Diceros bicornis minor: one gene and its partners. The protein of the gene in region 1 purifies or fractionates together with the protein of each later gene. This does not show direct contact. Links are inferred from orthologs where the notes say so. Each region holds a gene or a part of one and is shown on either strand. Other genes may lie near its edges.

Evidence for each region. Proteins that work in one complex are often made in the same cells at the same time.
Region 2: the proteins of NEDD1 (region 1) and TUBGCP4 purify together in Homo sapiens (affinity purification with mass spectrometry; 3 studies listed by BioGRID and IntAct, with this or other methods). This does not show direct contact. The link is inferred for Diceros bicornis minor from reciprocal best matches to the Homo sapiens genes NEDD1 and TUBGCP4.
Region 3: the proteins of NEDD1 (region 1) and TUBG1 purify together in Homo sapiens (affinity purification with mass spectrometry; 5 studies listed by BioGRID and IntAct, with this or other methods). This does not show direct contact. The link is inferred for Diceros bicornis minor from reciprocal best matches to the Homo sapiens genes NEDD1 and TUBG1.

The regions. Positions count from the first base shown.
Region 1 is NC_080764.1:25,698,814-25,706,263, reverse strand, and holds the start of NEDD1 (protein NEDD1), read left to right. Parts: upstream 1-4,331; 5' UTR 4,332-4,385; intron 4,386-4,738; exon of another isoform or gene 4,739-5,616; intron 5,617-6,706; 5' UTR 6,707-6,714; coding exon 6,715-6,850; intron 6,851-7,450. UniProt on the Homo sapiens protein: Required for mitosis progression. Promotes the nucleation of microtubules from the spindle.
Region 2 is NC_080744.1:40,804,549-40,812,274, reverse strand, and holds the start of TUBGCP4 (gamma-tubulin complex component 4), read right to left. Parts: upstream 3,008-7,726; 5' UTR 2,924-3,007; coding exon 2,561-2,923; intron 1-2,560. Other genes in the region: ZSCAN29 (zinc finger and SCAN domain-containing protein 29), read left to right, coding at 4,091-4,405, 4,856-5,060, 6,896-7,585. UniProt on the Homo sapiens protein: Component of the gamma-tubulin ring complex (gTuRC) which mediates microtubule nucleation.
Region 3 is NC_080757.1:41,681,534-41,689,218, forward strand, and holds the start of TUBG1 (tubulin gamma-1 chain), read left to right. Parts: upstream 1-4,678; 5' UTR 4,679-4,732; coding exon 4,733-4,781; intron 4,782-5,108; coding exon 5,109-5,221; intron 5,222-5,403; coding exon 5,404-5,571; intron 5,572-6,409; coding exon 6,410-6,478; intron 6,479-6,749; coding exon 6,750-6,829; intron 6,830-7,265; coding exon 7,266-7,392; intron 7,393-7,602; coding exon 7,603-7,685. Other genes in the region: RETREG3 (reticulophagy regulator 3), read right to left, coding at 4,116-4,354. UniProt on the Homo sapiens protein: Tubulin is the major constituent of microtubules, protein filaments consisting of alpha- and beta-tubulin heterodimers. Gamma-tubulin is a key component of the gamma-tubulin ring complex (gTuRC) which mediates microtubule nucleation.

The DNA.
Region 1 (7,450 bases):
CAGCTGTAGGTGCTCTGACTGTCTTTTTTTAAAAATTGTTTTGGCTAGGTTATTTGCATTCCAATATAAATTTTTCAATTAGCCTGTCAATTTGCACACACTCAAAATAAACCTGTTGGAGTTTTGTGGAGATTAAGTTGAATGCATAGATTACTCTGGAAAAAATTGACATTCTAGCAATATTGTTTTCCATCTCGTTAATATGGTACAGCTCTCTATTTATTTAGGTCTTTAACTCCTCTCAGCAATGTGTTACAGTTTTCAAAGTATGGTTATTGTGCATATTTCATTAAATTAACTGTAAGTATTTCATGCTTTTGGGTGCTATTGAAAATGTAACTGTAATTTTTATTTCATTTTCCAATTGTTTATTGCTAGCATACAGAAATACTACTTTATTTTTGTATATTGACTTTGCATAGGCCTTGCTAAATTTACTTGTTGGTTCTAGGAGCTTTTTTCTGTATTCCTTATGATTTTCTAGTACACAATCATATGTCTGCAAATAGAGTTTTACTTCTTCTTTTGCATTCTATATGCTTTTTATTTTTTGTCTTATTGTATTGGCTAGGGCTTCCAGAAGAATGTTGAATAGTAGTAATGAGACTGGGCATCTTTGTGTTGTTCTCCATCTTAGGAGAAAAGCATTCAGTCTTTTACAATTAAGTATGGTGCTCCTTGTGGCCTTTCACAGATGTTCTTGAACCTGTTGAAGATGTTTCTTCCCTTTTTTTCCTAGTGTGCTGAGTTACTAATCATGAACGGATGCTGAATTTTTTCAAATGCTTTTGCTTTACCTATTGATATAATGATATGGCTATTCTCCTTTATTTTGTTAATATAGTGAATTATGTTAATTGATTTTCGAATGTTAAACCTACCTTGCATTTCTGGAATAAACTTTATTTGGTCATGATGGATCATAATTCTTTTATGTTGCTGCATTTAATTTGCATATATATATAATTTTTGTCTCTATGTATGAGAAATATGAGTCTATAGTTATTTCTTGTAAGGTCTTTGTCTGGTTTTAGCATCAGGGTAATAGTGTCCTTAAAAACAATAAGTTTAGGATATATTCCCTCCTCTTCTGTTTTTGGAAAAAATTTGTATTGGATTGGTATTATTTTTTCCTTATGTGTTTGATAGACTTCAATAGTGAAGCCACCTGATCCTGGGGTTTTCTTTGTGGGAAAGTTTTCTTAATTACAAATTCAATTTCTGTAGTACATATAGGACTATTCATGTTATCCATTTCTTCTTGTGTCAGTTTCAATATTTGTGTCTTCAAGATATTTGTCCATTTAAGTTACCAAATTAATCGGCATAAAGTTGTTCAAACTATTCCCTTATTATCTTTTTAAATATCTTTTGGTTCTGTACTGATGGCTTGCCTCTCTTTCAATCCTCATACTGGTATTTTGTGTTTTCTCTTTCTTCTTGATAAGTCTAGCAAGAGGTTTATCAATTTTATTAATCATTTCAAAGAATCAGATTCTGGTTTCATTAATTTTTCTCTGCTGTTGATCTGTTTTCATTTTCATTGTTCTCTACCCTAGTTTTTACTTTTTGTTTAATTTGCTCTTCTTTTTCTGGCTTCCTTATTGATATTGGACCTTTCTTTTTTTTCCATAATATAGACATTTAAACCTATATGTTTGTCTAGAAGCACTGCTTTGATGAATTCCATAAATTTTTATATGTTGCATTTTACTTATCATCATTTGAATATTTTCTAATTTATTTGCGATTTGATTTTTTCTTTGATCTATGAGTTGTTTAGAAGTAAAGTTGTTTAAATTTCAGATGTTTGGGGCTTTTCTAGATGCTTTATTGTTTTCTATTTAATTGTACTGTGATCAGAGAATATACTCTGTAAGATTTATTTGCTTAAAATCTATTGAGACTTGTTCTACGGCCCAGCATGTGGTCTATCTTTGTAAATATTCCATGTATATTTGAAAAGAATGTTTATCCTGCAGAGGTTGGGTATAGTGTTCTATAAACGTCAATTAAAATAGTTGATAAAGTTCAGATCTAGCACGTCTTTACTGATTTTTTTTTCTTATCTGGATGTTCTATCAATTACTGAGAGAATTCTGCTAAAGTCTCCAACAATGATTATGGATGTGACTTTTTCTCCTTCAGCTCTGACATTTATTCTTCATATACTTTAAATGTTTTTTTTTAAAGATTTTATTTATTTATTTTTTCCCCCCAAAGCCCCAGTAGATAGTTGTATGTCGTAGTTGCACATCATTCTAGTTGCTGTATGTGGGATGCAGCCTCAGAATGGCTGGAGAAGCGGTGCGTCGGTGTGCGCCCAGGATCCGAACCCGGGACGCCAGCAGCGGAGCGCGCGCACTTAACCGCTAAGCCACAGGGCCGGCCCTATTCTTCATATATTTTAAACTTCTGTTATTGGTCACATATATATTGATATGGCTTCTGGTTTTATTGACCATTTTTTTGTTGTGAAATATCCCTCTTTGTCTCTAGAAATATACCTAGTCTTGATGTTTACTTTGGGAAAGCTGTATATGTTTATATAATTCATATATTAGTGAGGATTCCAACATTTGGCTTCTATTGCTTGTAGACTGTATTATAAAGAACTAGGAAACAGAATGCACATAGACACAGAGGTAGGAACAAGAATGTCAGAACTGTGTAAGGTCTGATGAGGCTGTGGTACCAGCAGGGAGGAAGGAGTGAAGGTTGACATTTGGCCCTTTATGCTGTGTTCTGGCTCTTGACTATATAGCATAATGGTTGAGAGCACAGTCTTTGTAATATTCTGGTTCTGGATTTAACTCCTGTGCATACCATTTCTTAACTGTGTGACCTTGGGAAAGATACTTAACCTCTGTTTCTTCACATGTAAAGTGGGGACATAGTACATACACGTTTTTAGAAAGATGAAATTATATATATATATATATATATATATATATATATATATGTAGTATACCTGTACACATTATATACATATCTATGTGCTTAGCGAATTATGTGCTTAATAAATAATATCTATGTGTTATTTGTTATTATATTACATAATATGTATATATTATATGGTATGCAGTATTATATCATATATTGTTTCATATATTCTAGTCTCTATTTTCCTGCTGGCTTCAATTTTTCAGAGATTTAGTTCATTGTTTTTTCCTTATTTGCCCTGATTCTCCCTGCACCCTCTCTCTTAACTTCTTTTCTTATTTCTGAACTTTTTGGGCCCCATCCTTGCTGAAATTGGATTTAATAACCTCAAGAACTATGAACTATACAATGAAGGAAGTTGCTGCTCGCTATCTTTCTCCTTTTGAGGCTCCCCATCAATCTTTAAAACTTAGCCAGAACTTCAATTTCTGCTCTGCAAAAATTGCACTTACCAGTTTTCTAGTTATTTGCAATACGTGTGCAAATAACTGGGGCTTATATACCTAGATCAGAAACACATTCTGAGTATATACTTGTGATGAAAGAATAATAACACTGTTTTCAGAAGAAAAGCCGTATATTTATTGTAAGTATTCTTAGCAACCATTGCCAGTAAAACTTAAAAAAAAGTCTCTGGTAGAACGGGCATTTGAAAATTCAGTTCAACTCCTTTTTCCACTCTGAGAAGCATCCCCTTCAAAAGAATTCCCAACCAAACGGTGTTTGATGTTCCCGACCCGGCAGCATGATTCAGAAGAAAAATCATAGGTTTTGAAGTCGGATAGTTTAGATATTTACGCTTTCTGTTATTGCCTAGCTTTTCTGAGCACGTCCCCTGGTTTGTAAATTGCCTGGCGTATTATCTGCTCTCCATGGTTTCCTCTTCAGGGAAGTCTTTCCTAAACCCACATCTACGTTCATTCCCCTTTTGTATGTCTCGTACCTTTCCTTTGAAGCCATTGTCAGTTTCACTTTTCATTTAAGTACGTAACTATTTATTAACGTCCGCCTCCTATACTGGGCTGTAAGGCCCCGGAGGCCGGGACCACAAGCGTTCACTGTACCCCGGTATTCCCAGGCTAAAGAAATCACGGTGCACCCAGAGTCTAGCATGGAGCCTGGCATACAGTTGGCAGTTAGCGAACAAATGAATTTCAAAGAAGCAGCTGTCTGCGGCCCAAGTGCCACCGCTAGGGCAAGGAGGGAGCCGCCCAAGGCCGCAGTTCCCGCCCTGGCGCGGGGAGAAGGACCCCCGCGGAGGCCTAGCACCGCCCCTGGCCCTACCCCGCCAACCCGAGGCCCCGCTTCGGGCAGCGCCCCTCCTCGTGACGCCACTCGGGGGCGGGACTTCCGGCCGCCGAAGTTTAACAGTCCAGGCGGGAGCCGGAAGCCCAGCGCCGGAGCGGGCCGCGCCGTGGCCCGCGGTGTCCCGCTGCCGAGAGGTGAGGTTCCGGAGGGCCTGGGGTCAGCGGGCCGCCGCCCGCCGTGTCCTTGCACACTCCTGAGCCCCGTCCGCCCTCCGGCCACCTCGGGGAGCTGGCCAGAGGTCCCGGGGCTCCGCGCCCCCCGCCCAGTGCGGCGCCCCGGACGGTTGCTGGGCGGAGGCGCGGCCGCGGGATTGGCGCGGAAGTGCCTGGAGCCGCGGGCCGGGGTCGCGCGCCGCCTCCTGCGAGGCCTCGGGCCCGGCCTGAGGGGCGGCCCGGTCCGCGGGGGTAGGTCGGCGGCGGCTCTGGGGGGGCCGCCTCCGGAGAGTGTGCCGCTTCGCCGCAGTCCGCTCCCTTTTTGTAAACCTCTCCAGTAGGACTCGGATGCATTTTATAAGGTCGCCCCAGTCGCGCAGTTCTCCTGCAAGTAAAGTGCAGATTTGGTGAAGGAAAGTTGGAGAACTTTTGTTTGTTTGAGCTGAGTGTTGTGGCGGAATTTGTTCTTGTGGCCGCTGTCCCCGGATCCGGGGCGGGCCGTCTGGGACCGCCCTGTGTCCTGACAGCTCCTTTCGACGGGGGCCTCTTGGAGAGCTGATGTCATGCCCTTCCCTTAAATGCGCTCGAGTCTCAGAAGACCGAGGTGGGTGGGCAGACGGTCCCCTTTGCCGCTCCACCTTCAGAGAAGGAAACAGACATGAAGTGACTCGGCCAGAGTCACTGTCACCTAACTCTGGGGCAGATCGTGTGAACCCACTTGTTCTGAGCCCTGGCTTTAAGTGATCCTTCTGCGACACCACACCGCTCAGCAGGACTGGTGTAAGATTATGGCAGAGCCATCTTTCAGTCGTGTTTGCTGGGTTCAGAGATCGCCTTTCCAGCACTTCATTGTTCCTTGAGTAGGAACCAAAAGGGCACGTGTTAACACAGGCCAGGCACCAGATCCAAACACTTTGCTTTTCAACAGATGACTGTACCGGCTTTTAGTAGCACCCTGTTTATCTGATAAATGATGTGTAATGAATCACAAAAGTGACTTTTCTAGTTAACAAAAGTTTTAGCCTTTTTTTAAGCACATAAAAAAGTTTTTTTTGTCTCTGGAGAATCAAAGGGCCCTATAATTTATACCTTGAATTTGTCCTCTGAAATAGGGTATATTGGACGTGAATGTGATGTTTTGTTGATGACTTGGGAACCTGTCTGTGACATCACTAATGCTGTGCTATTCTCTTGCACTCTTTACACCAGGAAGGTGTGTAGGGTATAGTTCTCCGCCCCCTGCCCTTGCTCTTTCTCCCGTGTGTTTTTGAGCATTTTTTCTGACCTGTCATGCGTTACTCCTTGCTGCTTTTTAAAGACACTTTAGTCTGCCTGGAGCAGCTTCCTTGCCTTCTCTCCTTTCACAAACCTTCTGTCTTGCCTTGGTTTGTGAAATCACTGTGTCAGAGTTATGTGTTTGAACTATATACTGTGAATAAGTAATATGAGCCAGGGTGTTGTAGACCGAGTATTGGTATAGGGACTTAGCGACATCTCCTGTGGCTATATTTGCTAATTTTGAAGTTACTTGGAAGAAGTAGAGTGACTGGATTCTGACCTGCAGGGGTGCTACAGTTTATCATACGTTTCTGAAAAGATTAGGAAAGGTTACCTATCCAACAGTTACTTGTTGAGTACCTACTGTGTGCCAGGAATGTTTCAAGACGGGTGGTGTACAAGACAAAATCTCTGTCCTCGGCATCTTTGTTTTGTTCCAAGTCAGAGGAGTCATACATTATTATGAGAACAAATAATTGAAGATAGCAGGAAGTGCCATGAAAAAAATGAAACAGGGTAATGGGATATAAGGCAGCTGGTGTGGGGCTGCTCTAGTCCTGGTGGTTGGGAAAGGCCATTCTGAAGGAGGAGACAAGAGCTGAGACTGGAATGATGTGAAGGAGATGAGCGTGGGAAATCTGGGGAAAGAGCATTCCAGGCCAGGGGGCAGCAAATGGAAAGACATCAGGCAAGAAAGAAGGCCATTGAGTCTGGTAGGCCCCCGGAGAAGAGAGACAGGAGAGTTACACCGGGGCCGGGTCATGTAGAGCACGCTAAGGAGGTTGGATTTCATTATAATTGTGCTGAGGAGAGCCATTGGAAGGGTCAACTAAGAGATTGTGATCCGGTTTTCCTTTTAGAATTTTAGAAAGAAAGATCACTGCAGTTACTTGGTGGTGAGCATCCTCTCTGGGACAAAAGTAGACAAGCAGAGCCACTTGTTTTAGATTAGATGCTTCATTTTAAGTTTTTTTTTTGCCTATCCTTAATTTTTTTTAAAATATATTGTTTTAAACCACTTGTAGGTGCAGCCATGCAGGAAAACCTCAGATTTGCTTCATCGGGAGATGATGTTAAAATATGGGATGCTTCATCTATGACGTTGGTGGATAAATTCAACCCACACACATCACCACATGGAATCAGCTCAATATGTTGGAGCAGCAATAGTATCCTTTTTTTTTTTTTAAGCAACTGCTTTCTGTTAGGTTAAACAAACAGTTTCTATGAAATTTTTGCATGTGACACATGAGAAATATATTTTGCATCACTGTGAAAGATAAATAGATAAAGTGAAATAGGAGTTTAATAAACAGTACATCATATGAATGCACACTGATATTCTGTTGATTTCATTTTTAAAAATTTTAGTTGCAACCCACTCTATTGTAAAACATTGCTATAAAAAATATATATATATATAAGCTACTAGATCTAGACCATAGAATTAGTCTTGTTATCAACAGTTTGTTATTGAATCAAGCGGAATAAGGTAGGTAATGGTGGGAAAAATTCTGAAAGGTTTTGAATGGGTTTTGGCATCTACATTTGGATATTTGTGGATCTGGTCTGGAAATTAAAGACAGAACTCAAAGGCAGAAGCAGAGGTAGGGGGAAGAGATAAAAGTTAGAAGTGTCCAACATCCCCATTTTACTGATGTACTCTCTGTATTTCTCTTCCTTTCTATGATGAAAATAGTCTCATCTCCCAAATAAAGTGTCTAGATTGAGTTTTCCTAAGCTTTTTGTGTTTCTTAATTACACCCTCC
Region 2 (7,726 bases), on another chromosome or scaffold:
TTGCCTCTTACTTGTTTGAAATCTTAGGCAAGTTACCATACCTCTCTGTGCCTCAGTTTTCATACCGATAAAGTGGAGACAATCATTGTGAAGATTAAATAAGCTAATACATGTAAATCACTTGTGCCAAGCACACAGCAAGTGCTTAATACACGTAAGCAATTTTTTATTATTAGGACATCTCTACCCAGTTAACAAGTGATACTCCCACTAAAATTGGCATTTTGAGCAGTGCTTGTTGGCCGAGTTTTAGAAAAGTTCAAGGTCTAGTTATTCTGAAACAGCAAACAATACTTTAATGTTACTGATACCATTTGGTACAAGCTACTTATATTAACAAGCACTCTCTACATTAGTGTTACTGAAGTCAAAATAGAAAATACAGGGGCCGGCCCGTGGCTTAGCAGTTAAGCGTGCGCGCTCTGCTACTGGGGGCCTGGGTGCGGATCCCAGGCGCGCACTGACGCTCCGCTTGTCCAGCCATGCTGAGGCGGCGTCCCACATACAGCAACTGGAAGGATGTGCAGCTATGACATACAACTATCTACTGGGGCTTTGGGGAGAAAAAGGGAAAAAAAAAATAGAAAATACAGAACCAGATCTGTAGCAAGGTCTTTATTAAACTCAATTGTTGGCGATTTAGTTTCAGCAAAACAATAATATATGTTAATCAGATCAGTGGTTCTCAATCAGGGGCAATTCTGCCCCCAAGGGTCATTCAGTAATGTCTGGAGATATTTTTGGGTTGCCACAACTTGGGGAGTACTACTGGCATCTGGTGAGTAGAGACCACAGATGCTGCGGAACATCCTACAACGCACAGGCCCACCCCCCCCCACAACAAAGAATTAATTATCCAGTCCAAAATGTCAACACTGCCAAGGTTGAGAAACTCTGCATTAGGTTAATGTTAATTTGAAGTTATCGATTGGGTAGTTCTGTTTACTTTGTAAAAATATTTCTTTTTATAGTTATTTAAGAGCTATATGTTTGATTTTATACTTAGCTTAATGTGTATACATATTCAGTATTACAATAAGATGATTTTGATCAACATTGGGCATTCCTGACAACTTTTCCCTTTATTCGAATGTGAAAAATACTTCTCTGCAGAAAGTATGTAACATTTGCTGGTTTTGGTGATCTTCTTTTCTTCTACAAATATCTGAACACCTACTACGTGGCAGAAATTGTGCTGGGTGCTCTGGGTAGATCAGTAAAGACCACTGTGGTCTTTGCCCCCGTGAGCAATCTATGTGAGAAAAAGACTATAAACAAGTAACAACAATAAATAATATGAATTGTGCTAAGTCCTATAAGGGAAACAAACAAGTTTCTGTGATAGAGAATAATGGCAATATGGGGAGGATACTCAAAGAGGTGGTCAGAGAAAGCTTTTCTGAGGAGGTGACTTTAAAGCTGAGATCTTGAGGAGGAAAATATCTGATTGAGACCTTTTTATAAGAAAGGAAAGCAGCTATCTTTCCTATACTCTGATATTTCCTTTTACTTCAGACACTCAAGCACCCACAAATACTTCCTGAACATTTTCCTCCTATCTGCTTGGCACTATGCTAGTTTTGCGGGGGAAAATAAACAATAACCAGAGGAATCTATTTGATTGGTAGATTTTATAGACTAAGAATGTAATTTTTCTGCTCTTCCACAGCCTATACTGCCAATTCTCATAGGAAAAGGTATGATTTTGTGATCAGACAGAGCTAGATTCAAATCTTGCCATTACTAGGACTAGCTACCATAAAGTTCTCTGAGCTTCAGTTTGCTCATTTGTAAACTGGGGCTAACAATACCTAAGTTATTAAATTATTGAGAATTAGATAACATTGCTGAAAGCAGAAGTAGAAAAGAGTAGTTCAGATACTGGAGCCAGACAGACCTGGGTTCAAGATCAAGCTCGCAAATTACTAGCTACACGGACACTGGGAGTTAATCTGTGAAATGGAGATAGGTGATTGTGAAGATTAAATGAGATAATGCATATGGTACATAGCCCTTCCTCTTCATACATTCCTAGTTACACGAAGGCCCCCTTCCAAATTCTCCTAGTGCAGAAATTTCCTGGAAAAGGAGTAATGAGGGAAACACTCTCATTTATTCTTTCATTCAACGAAATTTGCTGAACCTTTATTGTGTGTTAAGCGCTATGTATGTGGACTAGCTTTCAAAACTCAGTTTAAAACAGAGTGCAAACGTGAAAATGGGAGAAGCTGCCTCCCTCATTTTACGTCCAGTTCCCCAGGCACTCTCTTTCAGACACCTCCACCTCAGGCCGGGTCCCGGGCTCCCTCCTTCTCCCGGAAGGCATGGCCCGTCGAGGTCTGCCCTCCGTTCCCCAGCCTAGGCCCAGCCTTCTCAGGGTGTCTACAACACCCGTAGGCTCCTCAGGCACTGCCCTACAGTTACCTGCCCAGGGACACGCCCCCCGAATGCCTCAGCCCCCGCAAGCCCCGCCCCCTCGGTCCCTCAGACTCCTCCCCAAGCATTGGCAGGTCCACCCATTCTGCACTAGCTAGTTCCCGCGCTCTGAGCCGGACAGTACCTGGAGGCCATTACGCTTGTTCCAGGTGAAAATGGACCCTGGGTACCCGCTCAGAGCCAAGAGCAGTTCGTGGATCATTCCGACGGCGGACCTCGAGTCACTATATCCGCCGCCCCCTCCTCCAGCACCTCTCCAGGAGACCTCGGAGGCGAGTGCCCCTTCCCGACCCGCGCACAAGCCCCTGGGACGGGCGGTTCCCCCCGAATCTACCCGCCAAGACAATTGCTGCTGGAGGTGCGGAGGGGAAGCGGGGAAGAGGTCGGCGCGCCGGGTCCCGGAAGTGTGCGGCGCTCGGCTAGGCCCACTCGCTCGCTGCCGCCGGCTCTCCACACGAGAGGAGTCGCTGTGTCTGACCTTGCGCATGCGCCGTCAGCGCCCGAGTCGCTCGCTCGGACTTCCGGTTTGGGAGCCGGACTGGGAGGCTGGTAGAGCCCGAGCTGGGGCCGGACCCCGAGTTGGTGAGGCTGGCCCCGGGGCAGAGATGTGAGCGGGTTGAGGGACACCCCGAGAGGGAGACGCTCCCAGGGGTGAGCCGGAGGGTGCTCTCAGGGCGCTTTAGCCCCGTCGGAGGCCTCTGGAGGGACTGCACGATGGCTCCGAGAGTGCCCTGGCCGGAGGGAGCGAAGACAAAGAGGCCGGAACCTCGCACGCGCCGTTCCTTGAGCTGAGCTCCGCGCTCGCGAACCCCGCAGCGCTCGGAGCCCTGGCCAGCACCCAAGCTCGTCCTCAGGAGACACATTACTACTGCCCCCTCGGACTTCCTCTCTCCACGACCTCAGTGACTCTCCCCGAGCCCACCTGGCCCTCGCTTCGGGAGCCAAAACCAACTTCTCCCAATGCGCCAGGTTTCCCGTCAGTAGTTCCTGAATATTTGCCGAGCGGTTACTTCTGCTGTGAGGGAAAACAAAGACCCAGTATTCAGTACTTGATTTTCGTCTGGGGTGGGAATTGGTAGTTGTGGAGTCTGAGGGGCCGGGGCGGACGTAGGGGCCTCGGGAAGGACTGCGGAGGTACTGGGGGAGATCAGCTGCGACCCGCTGGACAGAGGCTTTTTGTTGCCTTCAGCAGGATGGTGACCTCCTTGTAGATCCTTTCGAGCTCCAGGTCTCCCATATGGTTCACTATGCAGCATTGGTGACGGGAGCAAAATGGGATCAGATTTGGGGGAGGTGGAGGAGGAGCAGGCAGTACTTTCTATTCTCTGCTGCTTGCCGGGGCTGCCCTGAAAGTCACCCAGAAATGGAGTTTTTGCAAGGTCTCTCTCCTTCATGCTGTTTTGCCTTGCTGTCCTGAAGTTGGTGCTACCTCAGGTGGCCACGTAGAGCATAAGGGAAGTCAGCCCAGATCTGGCAAGACTTTAGACATGAGTATATTCCTTCTGATAGTTCCATCTCTCTCTACCCTAGGAAGAAACTCTTCTTAACAGAGGGAGACTCATCTGCAGGTGATTCTCCAAGGACATGGGAAGATAGGTGCAAACCCTGGAACCCTGACCCTTAAGCGGAGGGAAGCTGGTTTCTGCTGTGAACGATGGCCAAACCCACTCTGAGAGGGAATGGCACTAACTCGGAGACCTTCCGACAGCGCTTCAGGAGATTTCATTACCTGGAGGTAGCTGGGCCCCGGGAGGCTTTCAGCCAACTCTGGGAACTTTGCTGCCGGTGGCTAAGGCCGGAGGTGCGCACCAAGGAGCAGATTGTAGAATTGTTGGTGCTAGAGCAGTTCCTGACCGTCTTACCTGGGGAGATCCAGAATTGGGTACAGGAGCAATGTCCAGAGAGTGGAGAGGAGGCAGTGGCTCTGGTGGAAGATTTAGAAAGACAGCCTGGAAGACCTGGACGTTCGGTGAGACGGGAGAGGGAATTCACAAGTGTGTGACTGGGAAGGGGCAAGGATAAAGGGCCAAATTAAGGTATAGACAGGTTTAAAGAGGGGCACAATCTCCTTTGGTGATGCTTCTGGTCCTGGAACAGGTAACTTGTTCAGACAGAGCTTATCTGGGTGTACCTTTGCTACACCCTGTCACAATGAGTTATATGTACTTTCATAGTTTAATAGGGAAGGGGAATTTTTTTCAGCCTGTAGTTGGGTTTACTATTTTTATCTTTTCCTTCTGGAGTTCCAGCTGCTCTAAGTAACAGTAATGGAATAAGACAGACCTTTGTTCACTATTAACCACCCCCCCAACCCTAGCCATGTCTCAAAGGATGATCTCTTTTGGAGTATTAAATAATCTTCTCTGGGAATGCCCCTCATTATGACCTTGCAGTGACAATTAACGGGGGTTGTTTCTAGGTCACAGTCTCTGTGAAGGGGCAGGAAGTGCGCTTGGAGAAGATGACACCCCTGAAATCATCACAAGAGTTATTAATTGTTCGGCAGGAGTCAGTGGAACCCCAGCCCAGGGGTGTACCCAAGAAAGAGAGGGCAAGAAGCCCAGACCTGGGACCACAGGAGCAGATGAATCCAAAGGAGAAGCTCAGACCTTTTCAAAGGAGCGGTGAGGAGTAGATTCATATGGGAAGATAGGATGCCATTCTAAGTTGGGAAGTAGGGTTGGGCATAGGAGTGGGAAAGGGATTGCAGGAATGAGTGGAAATTGTAGAGTATGTGGTTGTTGGGGACCTCCTGAAGGCATGTAGTTTAGCCCTCTGCTGCAGTAAGTATTCTTATATTTCCTCTTGATAAGTCTGCAAGAGGATGGCTTCCCAGTTTTTATCAGAACTTGGAACTATTTTACTTCCTGTTGGTAATGATACTAGGTCAGTATTTTCTAGATAAAAATTCTTTTCTGTACTTGAAGGCACATCTTTCTTTCAGTCATTTTCCTTCTCCAAATTAAACTATATTTGTTTCTTTAAGCTTTCCCCTAGAAGCTCCACTCTTCAGACCTACTAAGTTTTTGTTACTCTTCCTTGGAACCTTTCAGTTCTCCAAATATATTAACTGTGGAGAACTAAATTATGTATTCCAGTGAGGGTCTGGTAGGTACAGGCAGAGTAAGAATTTTATTTCAGTTTCACTACATTTTCTTTCAGTATAGCTCAAAAAAATTATTTAATGACTACTGTTCACTTGGTAACTCCCAGGATGCTTACAGCCTTCCCCAGTGTCTTTGTGCCTAGTGCTTATTCTTATACTTGATTTTATAGAACTTGTTTTTCTTCTTTGTACTCTGTTAAACTCCATTTTGTATGTTTTCTTTGATCATTTCTTTAACTTGTTGGGGTTGTTTTGAATTCTGATCTTATCATCTAAGACACTAGCTTTCTCAGCCAGTTTGGTAATGGTCTCTGTTTAGTCATCCAGATGCAATCTCTCAACCCCATACACAGACTTGCAGAATGAATCAGTTTTTGAACACCATGTGCTGAACACCTTGTAGGGTACTCTGCAATAAGAAAAGGTGCCTATCCTTAAAGAGTTTACAATATAATTGAGAACGTAACAGCAAACATAAATATGTGCCTAACCGAACTGTACCAAAACACCACCAAACCATGATTTGTTACTCAATTGTGTGAGTACAGTAGGGGATTGGCGGAGTGGGAGATGAGGGAGGGCTGTAGGGAAGGCTTCATGGGGGCATTGGCAAATACAGCTTCTTGAAGGGTGGATTAAATTTGGATAGGAGAAAGGGAGTTAAAGGAAAGGCAGAGAGTGGTGAATAAATGTGTCCTGTGTTCTGGAGAGGAGAGTCTGGTAGGAATGGACAGTGCATGGTAGGCACTCAGGTTAACGTTCAGCAGTATAGCATGTTACCTGAGGAAGCAAGAACTTGGAGTGAGGTCGGATAGTAACTGCTGCAGTTATCCAGGTGTGAGAGGATAAGGAGTCTAGACTTGGATGGTGGCAGTAGGAGTAAAGGACATACTAAGGGAAAAACTTTTAGAACTTGGTTACTGAGTGTGAAGGCAACAAATGAGTTGAAGAGTCTCCCCTCCGCTCCCCTCCCCTTTGGAATCACTCAGAGTTTAATTCTCTAGTCCCAAGTGGAGAACTATAGAGACAGAAGGTGACTGTTCCCAGCAGTGCCAGAACCTTCCTACAAGTGGTCAGGAGGGCTAGGGAGCAACTTGGAACAAAAGTATCTGCTCTGAACACACCACAGAACCTTTTCCTCTCTTGTCACTTTGCTCTGGAAAATAAAATATTTCTCATTTTTTGAAGTTTCATGTATTTTCCCCACTTTCTCCAACTCATTGAACTTTCTGAAAACATTTCCTTAGACACTTTCTTATAAGCTTCTTGGATAAAAAAGGCAGGTCTGAACTCAGAGATGTTTTTTATGATCCATCCAAACTATGATATCCTTTGTTTGCTTCCTGCAAGCAGGATTTCCATTTCCTAAATCCGGTGTGGTCTCCAGGTTGGAGCAAGGAGAGCCATGGATCCCAGATTTGGGCTCCAAGGAGAAGGAACTCCCAAGAGGCAGTCACACAGGAGACAGACGAATGCATGCTGATCCGTTACCATCCAGGAGAGAGAGAAGAAGCTGGGTGGAGCAGGATCACTGGGGCTTTGAGGATGAGAAGGTGGCAGGTGTGCACTGGGGCTATGAAGAGACCAGAACTCTCCTCGCGATTCTCAGTCAGACTGAGTTTTATGAGGCTCTTCGAAACTGTCACCGCAACAGCCAAGTATATGGGGCTGTGGCTGAGCGGCTCCGAGAGTATGGCTTCCTCCGGACCCTGGAACAGTGTCGGACCAAGTTCAAAGGTCTCCAGAAGAGCTATCGGAAAGTCAAGGGTGGCCACCCACCTGAGACCTGCCCCTTCTTTGAAGAGATGGAAGCCCTGATGAGTGCCCAGGTCATCGCCCTGCCCAGTAACGGCTTGGAAGAGGCAGCTTCTCACTCTGGCCTGGTGGGCAGTGATGCTGAGACTGAGGAGCCAGGGCAAGGGGTCTGGCAGCATGAGGAAGGAGAAGAGGCCATGGCTGAAGAGTCTGACAGTGATGAAATGGGCCAGGAGGCCACCCCACAGGACCCTGACAACTTGACTGTTCTTTTCCGAAGGCCAAGTGGTAAGAAGCTTCTCAGGTTTTGGGATTAGATTGAGGAGTTATGAGACTGGATGTGGAGTCAGGAAGCTTAATGTCACTTGCCAGCTTTGTCACTTTAGTAGAGAACAAAGGCACTTTTCAGTTCTATGTGTATTGCATTCT
Region 3 (7,685 bases), on another chromosome or scaffold:
AATACCTGTTTTTCCATATTTTCCCCAGAATTAAATACTATCATTTAAAAAAACCTAATAAGCAGAAATTAGTAACTCATTGCCATTTACATTAGAATTTTTTATTACTAATGAGAGTGAAATTTTATATATCCACTGATTTACTATTTTTTGGCTTTTTTGTCCTTTTGTAAGCCACCCATCCCCTTTATTATGGGCTAAAATCTAATTAATTATCAGTCTAAATAAAATATTCCTTGGAAAAACAATCTGGTGTCCCTAAAAATCATGAGAAATTCCAAAACTAAACAATTTTTTTGAGGTTAACTATACTATGGATCCTCACTGTTAGCACAGGTAAATTAGAGTTTGCTATAATCATAAAGTTTATGCTATAATCACAAACAAAATAAAGATCACATGACTGTTTTCAAAGAAGATACTATTTCTGGGTTCCTTTGTTATTGCAGAGTAAGCTTGTCTCAGTGGCACTTCAGAACAAAGCACCCCATCCTATAGGGACAGAAAGCCCATTATTGTACAGCACTGTGGCTGTCTGGTTAATCAGCCAGTCACTGGTAAATTAGAATTAAAAAAATTAACCCAACCTATCTCACGCAGTGACAGTTGTTGCTTGCACAAAACCAGAAATGAAACCAGCTAGCTGCTAATAACCTACCTTATGTTAATGGACAAAAAGCACCCAACCTTACAATTAGGACAGATAAAAAACTGTTGGCAAAAGAGAGGCAAAAAAAAGCAAGCCAAGGCATCCTTGGGAATCTTCTTGGCTACCAAAAGCAACAAGAACAATGATCAGAGACGTGTGCTCAATAGATTTCATCTGAAATTTGATGTGTAGATTTTTTTTCACAGAACACTAAGTCTCTACTTAAATGGGCCCTCCCTTCCTTTTCCTGTTCCTTTTTCATTTTCATTCAAATTCTAAACTTTCAAATAAGAATTTTTATATACCTTTAATCATTTCTCAGGTCATTTTATTGATTTGGGGAGATTTTTGCGGAGATGGGAGGGGAAACACCTTATTTTTTCCAATTGTGAAAACAACAGATTCCATAACATCCCCTAGAATATAGTATGGTTAACTCAGACTAGCGACTGTAAAAGCAGATCCCAACAGAGAATAATTTAAAGATCATCTAGAATCACAGAATGTTAAAAACTGGAAAGGAGCTTTGCAGTCATCTAGCCCTCCTTGAACCATATGCGCTTCATAGAAGGGCTTGGGGTTCACACACATTTCCAGGGCTCCTTTGTCCTCCCCTATCTCCTAGGTATGAGTCAAACCAAAAAGTTACCTGAACCTGTTCGTTTCTGATCCTGTGAGGATACACTCTCACTGACTCAGCTGTTCTTCCCCCAAATCACTCATTTATAGGTGGTGTTGAGGCTAATGAAAATATAAGCTATTGGAGAGAAACGCCTGACATTTCTGTTATTATCCTAGAGACAAGAACATATCAGTGAATAGAAGCAACATAGGTTGGAAGAACTCTGATATGATACCCATAATTCCTCTGGAACCTGAAAAAAAAGAGTGAAAACCTTGAAATACTACAGTGGCAAGGCATCTACATCTATCTTTGTCTTTTATGTTGTTGTTTTTTTAAGATGTAAGAGGGCACATTCACAGGTACAGTTGACTAAGAATACAGAACATGGAAAGTTAAGAGCTACCTACCTGAATTCTGATGATTTTTTTGTACTCCTATCCAATCTTCTAATACCTCAAAATATATAAAACACCTCAGTTAATGATTTATCATTATTCAAAACAAATAATGAAAGAAAAATAAAATATTTCAGATTTGATTTCTCTCAGACCTGAGCCAATGATCCTTCTATGTTTCCTAAACATTTAAAATGTCTGAGAACAAAACAGTCACTCTTTGACATTCCTAAGCGAAATGTCAACACCCATATTCAATATGATGCTACTGGAATGTGAAGTCTAACTTTCATTTTGAACTTCAAACTACCTCCCAAAGAAGCCCATTTCCTAAAACAAACAATCCCATGAACTCCAACGCCAAACCACCCTAGCCTCTGGGGCCTTACTTAACACTTCCAGTCATTCTGTGCCCTTCACAGGTGTAAGTCCTCTCCATAAATGGCATACCCAGTTGCTCTTTCAGTCTCAAGAGATGCACCCTTCATTTTGCTGTATCTCTCCCCACCTATTTCAAGTGTGATGGGAACATAACAAGAGTAACTGTGCTCTGGATACACAGCACGCAAGCTACCAGAAAATCCCAGAGATAAAGATCAATCACAACAATGCTTCCAGAGACCCAGAGTAGGAAAAGGAGATCTGAGTGAGATTCTAAACATAGCATATTAGTAAACTTAAGTAAACACTGTTGGGGGCCAGCAAATTAAAGCTAACTGTAACATTTAAAGATGTGTCTTATGCAGAGCTGCTCCTTGTGTGCAGACCTCAACCCCACATTCCACTTCAAAACTCTCTCTCAGGCAAGGGGCATGTGGAAAGTCCCCTCCTCAAAAATAACAACATACATGCTACTGATCCATTTGCATTAATAAAACTTTGGCTTATCAGGATTCATTTAAAAGAATTTTATATATCAGCCACTCACATCTTGATACAAACTGGTTTATTCAGGACCCACTTTTTTCCTAGGAGTACAATCCCAATGTAGGAAAGGAAGTTTTGACTGGATGGTCCAGGGTTAGGGGTTGGGATGGGGAGGTGGGAGGAAAGGAAGAAAAGGTCATTCTGGAAAACACTCCTGAACGAGGTGCTACAGTTAAGGGTTTCTGACAGAAAGCAACAGACCGGAAGTAGGTACCTGGGGATCAAAGAAGAAGCAATACCAAAAATAAATGAAGAATGCTGTAGAAAAAGTTTATCGTCAAGTTTGTTAAAGACTATGGAAGTCAGAGATGGCTGTGACACCTTTCACCTGAGTCTCCTTCAAACTGTGAGAGGATTAATTTAACAGCTAAACATTGTGTCTTCCTGCCAATGAACTTGGAATTATTGGGTTTGCTCCAGCTCACTAAAAATCTTCTTTCAGACAAAGAATAATAAACGTTTTGATTTTAAAACCAAGAATTTCAAGAGGAAAGCTATTTTTAGCAAAAAACAATTTTTTTTTTTTTTGCGAACTCATACTTTGTGCTGTTTCAGGCTTATCCAGAATAGCCTTATTTCATCCAGTTGTAGAAGCTCCCTATACTTCAGCTCCCTTGGAATTAGATCAATAATACTTCCCTAATTATGAATAAATCCAAACTATGCCTGGCAGATCCTATGAAGACCTAAGTCCACTCCAGGTAATGACAACTGAGAGAAGCAGGAGTTCATCTTCACAGAGCATGACACATCCAGATTCTGAAAGCATATTTATAGCCGCACTTTTCCAGCTCAGGAAAACTTACACACTATTAGACACCCTCAATTTCCTTGCCTATAAACTGCGGCTGGATGCCTCGCTAATTCCTTGCAACATGGAGGAGTTGCAATCATAGAGGCTTTGAAACGGGTGAAATCGCACAATCACTATTTCCTAACTGTTCTTCAAAAGCTTATAATTTTCTTCCAAGTTGCAGCTTTGGACGCGCTTAGTGACGCTCAGACTTCACAAACCTCCTAGAGTGGGAGAAAGAAAGATCTAACGCGCGAATTCAGATCGTTCAAGCTGGTTTTCCTATCACACCTCCGGATACCTTTTCAAGACCTACCGCCTGACGCGTGTACCCCAATAATAACTACTACAATCTGGAGACAGTCCTCACCACATTTGAGCAGACAAGAGAAGGGAGGCTATGGCCTTCAAGGCACACAGCTTTCCCTGGCTAAAATGAGGCGCCCTCGCGCACTGCGAGCGGCTCAAGACGTAACCAGAAGCTCTTGCCTGATGTGCGGGGCGAGGGTGCGGGAGCAGTAAAGCGGAGAAGACAACTGAAGACCTGGGGAGAACTGCGGTGCCGAAGCCTGCAGGCGGGAAGAAGTGGAAGGAGATGGGGCAAAATTAGGCAGGTACAGGAAGGAGCCAGCGCAGCGAAGAAAACAGAGGAGGCGAGAGGTAGAGCCCTAGAGAAACCTGACGAATTCCCGCCTCGGAGGGTTTCCAAGGGTCCAGTTCTCTCACCAGAAAGCCGCGTTCAGCCCCAGGCACCACAGGGCGCTCCTGGCGGGCCGCTCCCACACCAGGGCTGCCTGCACCCGGCTCAGCAGAGGCTCGTAAGGCCCCAGCACCTCCACCAGGGCCCGCTGCGCCGCCTCAACCTGCTGGTCCCGCTCCCAGGAGCCTGACATAGCGCGGCGGCCCGTGAACGTCGGGCCCAAACTTGGGCCTGGGGCCGCGTCCACCCCCTCTGCCTCCGCCATCGCCCCCCGGCAGCCACAACATCCGGGGCCGCGGCCCCACAGTCACAATAACACCAACTGCGCAGATGCGCGATTCGGCGGGGGAGGCTGCTTCCCTTCACAACGCGCCTGCGCACACACTCGAACGAGAGTCCATCCAGAGAACACTGCGTCAAAGCACGCCCCTGCGCCCAGCCCGATCAGGAGCCGCGCAAGCGCAGTCTGCATGACTGAAGCCAAATGAATAAGGAAGTGCCATCGCCAGAACTCAGTTCTCATTGGAGCGGAGAAAGTTCGTGGGCGGGGCGAGTTGTTTGGCGCCTGCGTCGTGCGGCGAGCGGGCTGGCTAGCGGCGGCTTTGCTGGCGGGAGAGGCTGCAACGCCGGTGCCTGAGGAGCGATGCCGAGGGAAATCATCACCCTACAGTTGGGCCAGTGCGGCAATCAGAGTGAGCAAACCTCCGGCCCCTCCACTAGCCAGGTTCCTCAGATTCTATGGGATCTCGCTGTGGGATCCTGGACTCCATCTGCCCTTCCCAGAATCGTAGTTCTCCGAAAGGCAGGACATGCCTGACCCAGTGTCCAGTTGCCCAACCCCGAGGGGCCCTCCCCTGCCCGGTCCTGGCATACAGCCCTTTCCTCTGACACGGGAGACTCCTGAGGCTTGACTTCCTGTCTCTATACCCAGGCGCTCAGTCCCCAAGCTCCTAGTTGGAACCTGCCCAGACCCAGGTATCCTCTTTCTCCCCCGTCCATCTCTCCCCCACCCCGCCCAGTTGGGTTCGAGTTCTGGAAACAGCTGTGCGCCGAGCATGGTATCAGCCCCGAAGGCATCGTGGAGGAGTTTGCCACCGAGGGCACTGACCGCAAGGACGTCTTTTTCTACCAGGTGCCCCCAGCGACTTGGCCAGGGGTCCTAAAGGGAAGGCAGCGGCCTGGTGCTGGGAAACCTGCTGGGCAGAGAAGCCAGGGCGGCTGGCTTGAGGAGGGAGGGCAGGGAGGAGGCAGAGCTGGGAGGACGGGGGCCTTGGCCTTAGCTGATTGGGCCCCCTCCTGGACTCCCCTTGACAGGCAGACGATGAGCACTACATCCCCAGGGCCGTGCTGCTGGACCTGGAGCCCCGGGTGATCCACTCCATCCTCAACTCCCCCTATGCCAAGCTCTACAACCCAGAGAACATCTACCTGTCAGAGCATGGAGGAGGGGCTGGCAACAACTGGGCCAGCGGATTCTCCCAGGTCATTCGCTATTCCCTGGCAGGACCCACAACACCCTTCCTGTGTTGGGACAGGCCCTATGACTTCCCAGAGAGAGATGAAACCAGATCAAGGATGTATGAGTGCTGGAGGGAGAGAGAGATGGCTTAAGGGAGTTCTGTTTTCTAAGTCAACTATGTAAAATTGTTAAGAGACTCCACTAGCTAGTGCTGTGTGCCAGGCCGTACTAAGAGCTTTACGTATATTAACTTATTTAAACCTCCCAGCAACTCAAGAGGTAGGTAGTACAGGTCCACAGTCTCTTATCTACCTTTCCAGAATCCAAAAAACTCTGAAACCAAAAGACAATTTATAACTCATTTAGCAACAAAACCCAATCTCAATGGAGACAGGCTATTTTATAGTTTCTATCCAATTTACTGTCATTTCTCATACCTTTCATCACAGAAATATTAATGTATTTGATTAGCACACCTCAGACTCCCACTGGCATTTTACTTAACATACATTATATGTACCATGTTACCTTTATAGAGTCTGAAAAATTTGAATTCTGAAACATAACTGGCCTTAAGGATTTTAGAGTGGACCTGTATTATTACCTTCATATACAGATGAGGGAACTGAGGTATAGAGAGATCACAACGTGCTCAGAGTCACCTCGGCTAAACATGAACCCAGGCCTTCTGGATGTAGAGTGCCTGCCCATAACCACTGTGCTATACTGCTTCTCAATGCAAATAAAAAGCAGGGCCACTGTGCTCTAAAAAAAGACTTTTAGGTGCTATAAGGAGAATCGAGAGTCAGAATCTTTGTCCCATGGTCCTGTCTTGCTCTGACCTTCCCCATATCTGTACAGGGAGAGAAGATCCACGAGGACATTTTTGACATCATAGACCGGGAGGCAGATGGCAGTGACAGTCTGGAGGTGTGTCTCAGGAATGGTAGTGGGAGCCGACATAGGGAAGCCTCAGCAACACCCTTTAGAAGCCACTTTTAGGAATAAGACCCACCCATGTATGCTTTGCACTGGACAGAAGCCTTGCTGGAAACAAGGCAGAGTCTCCCCAGCTGTATATGTTGGGAGGGAAGTGGAGGAGAGAACTTGGCAAGATAGGAGTCCAAGAAATTATGGGATGGGTCCAGTTTGAAATCCTGACACTAGATACCTAGACACTGACTGCCCCTTCCCCATGTAGGGCTTCGTGCTGTGTCACTCCATCGCTGGGGGGACAGGCTCTGGCCTGGGCTCCTACCTCTTAGAACGGCTGAATGACAGGTAAGTCTGTGTTTTGAGGGGCTAGGAGGACTTGGTTTCCCAAGTAACTTGGAGGCCCTCCAGATACACCTTGCTATTCACTGGAGCAGGAAAGGGCCCTTCTGTAGTGAGGAAAGTCAAGATAGAGTGACTGAGAACCCGATCACACTCCCAGGGGTTGAAACTGGAGCCTCGAATCTGGGCCCTAGATGAAGAGATGAAGGTTCAGGGAGTATGGGGTTTGGTGTTGGAACTCTAGATCCTAAGATGTCTTTCTGCCCTTCCCCCTTTGGGGTTACAGACTTCCAAAAGTCAGGTCTCCCTTCTCTACTGCTCCCCGGGGCCCCATACCAGTTTCCCCATCCAAAATCAGCTGCTTCCAGACAGTTGCTGGGAGCCCCGTGTTCACCAAGCCACCAGTCTGTTGCCCTGACCCTTTTCTCCCAACCCCCACTAGGTACCCCAAGAAGCTGGTGCAGACGTACTCAGTGTTTCCCAACCAGGACGAGATGAGCGACGTGGTGGTCCAGCCCTACAACTCGCTGCTCACACTCAAGAGGCTGACCCAGAACGCAGACTGTGTGGTGAGTCCTGGATTCTACCATTCCCCACCCCCACCCCCTGTCTCTTTCAACACTTTCAGCCCTCTTGGGCCCCAGTCCTGTGCAAGTCCCTTTTGGATGGGTCTTTCTGGCTGTGAGGCTCAAGGGAAATTAAGCTTCAGAACCCAGGCTCAGGCAGAGCTGCTGTTCTTTCTGTCTCCATAAATCTGTCACCCTCTTCTGTCCCCCGAGGTGGTGCTGGACAACACAGCCCTGAACCGGATCGCCACAGACCGCCTGCACATCCAGAACCCCTCCTTCTCCCAGATCAACCA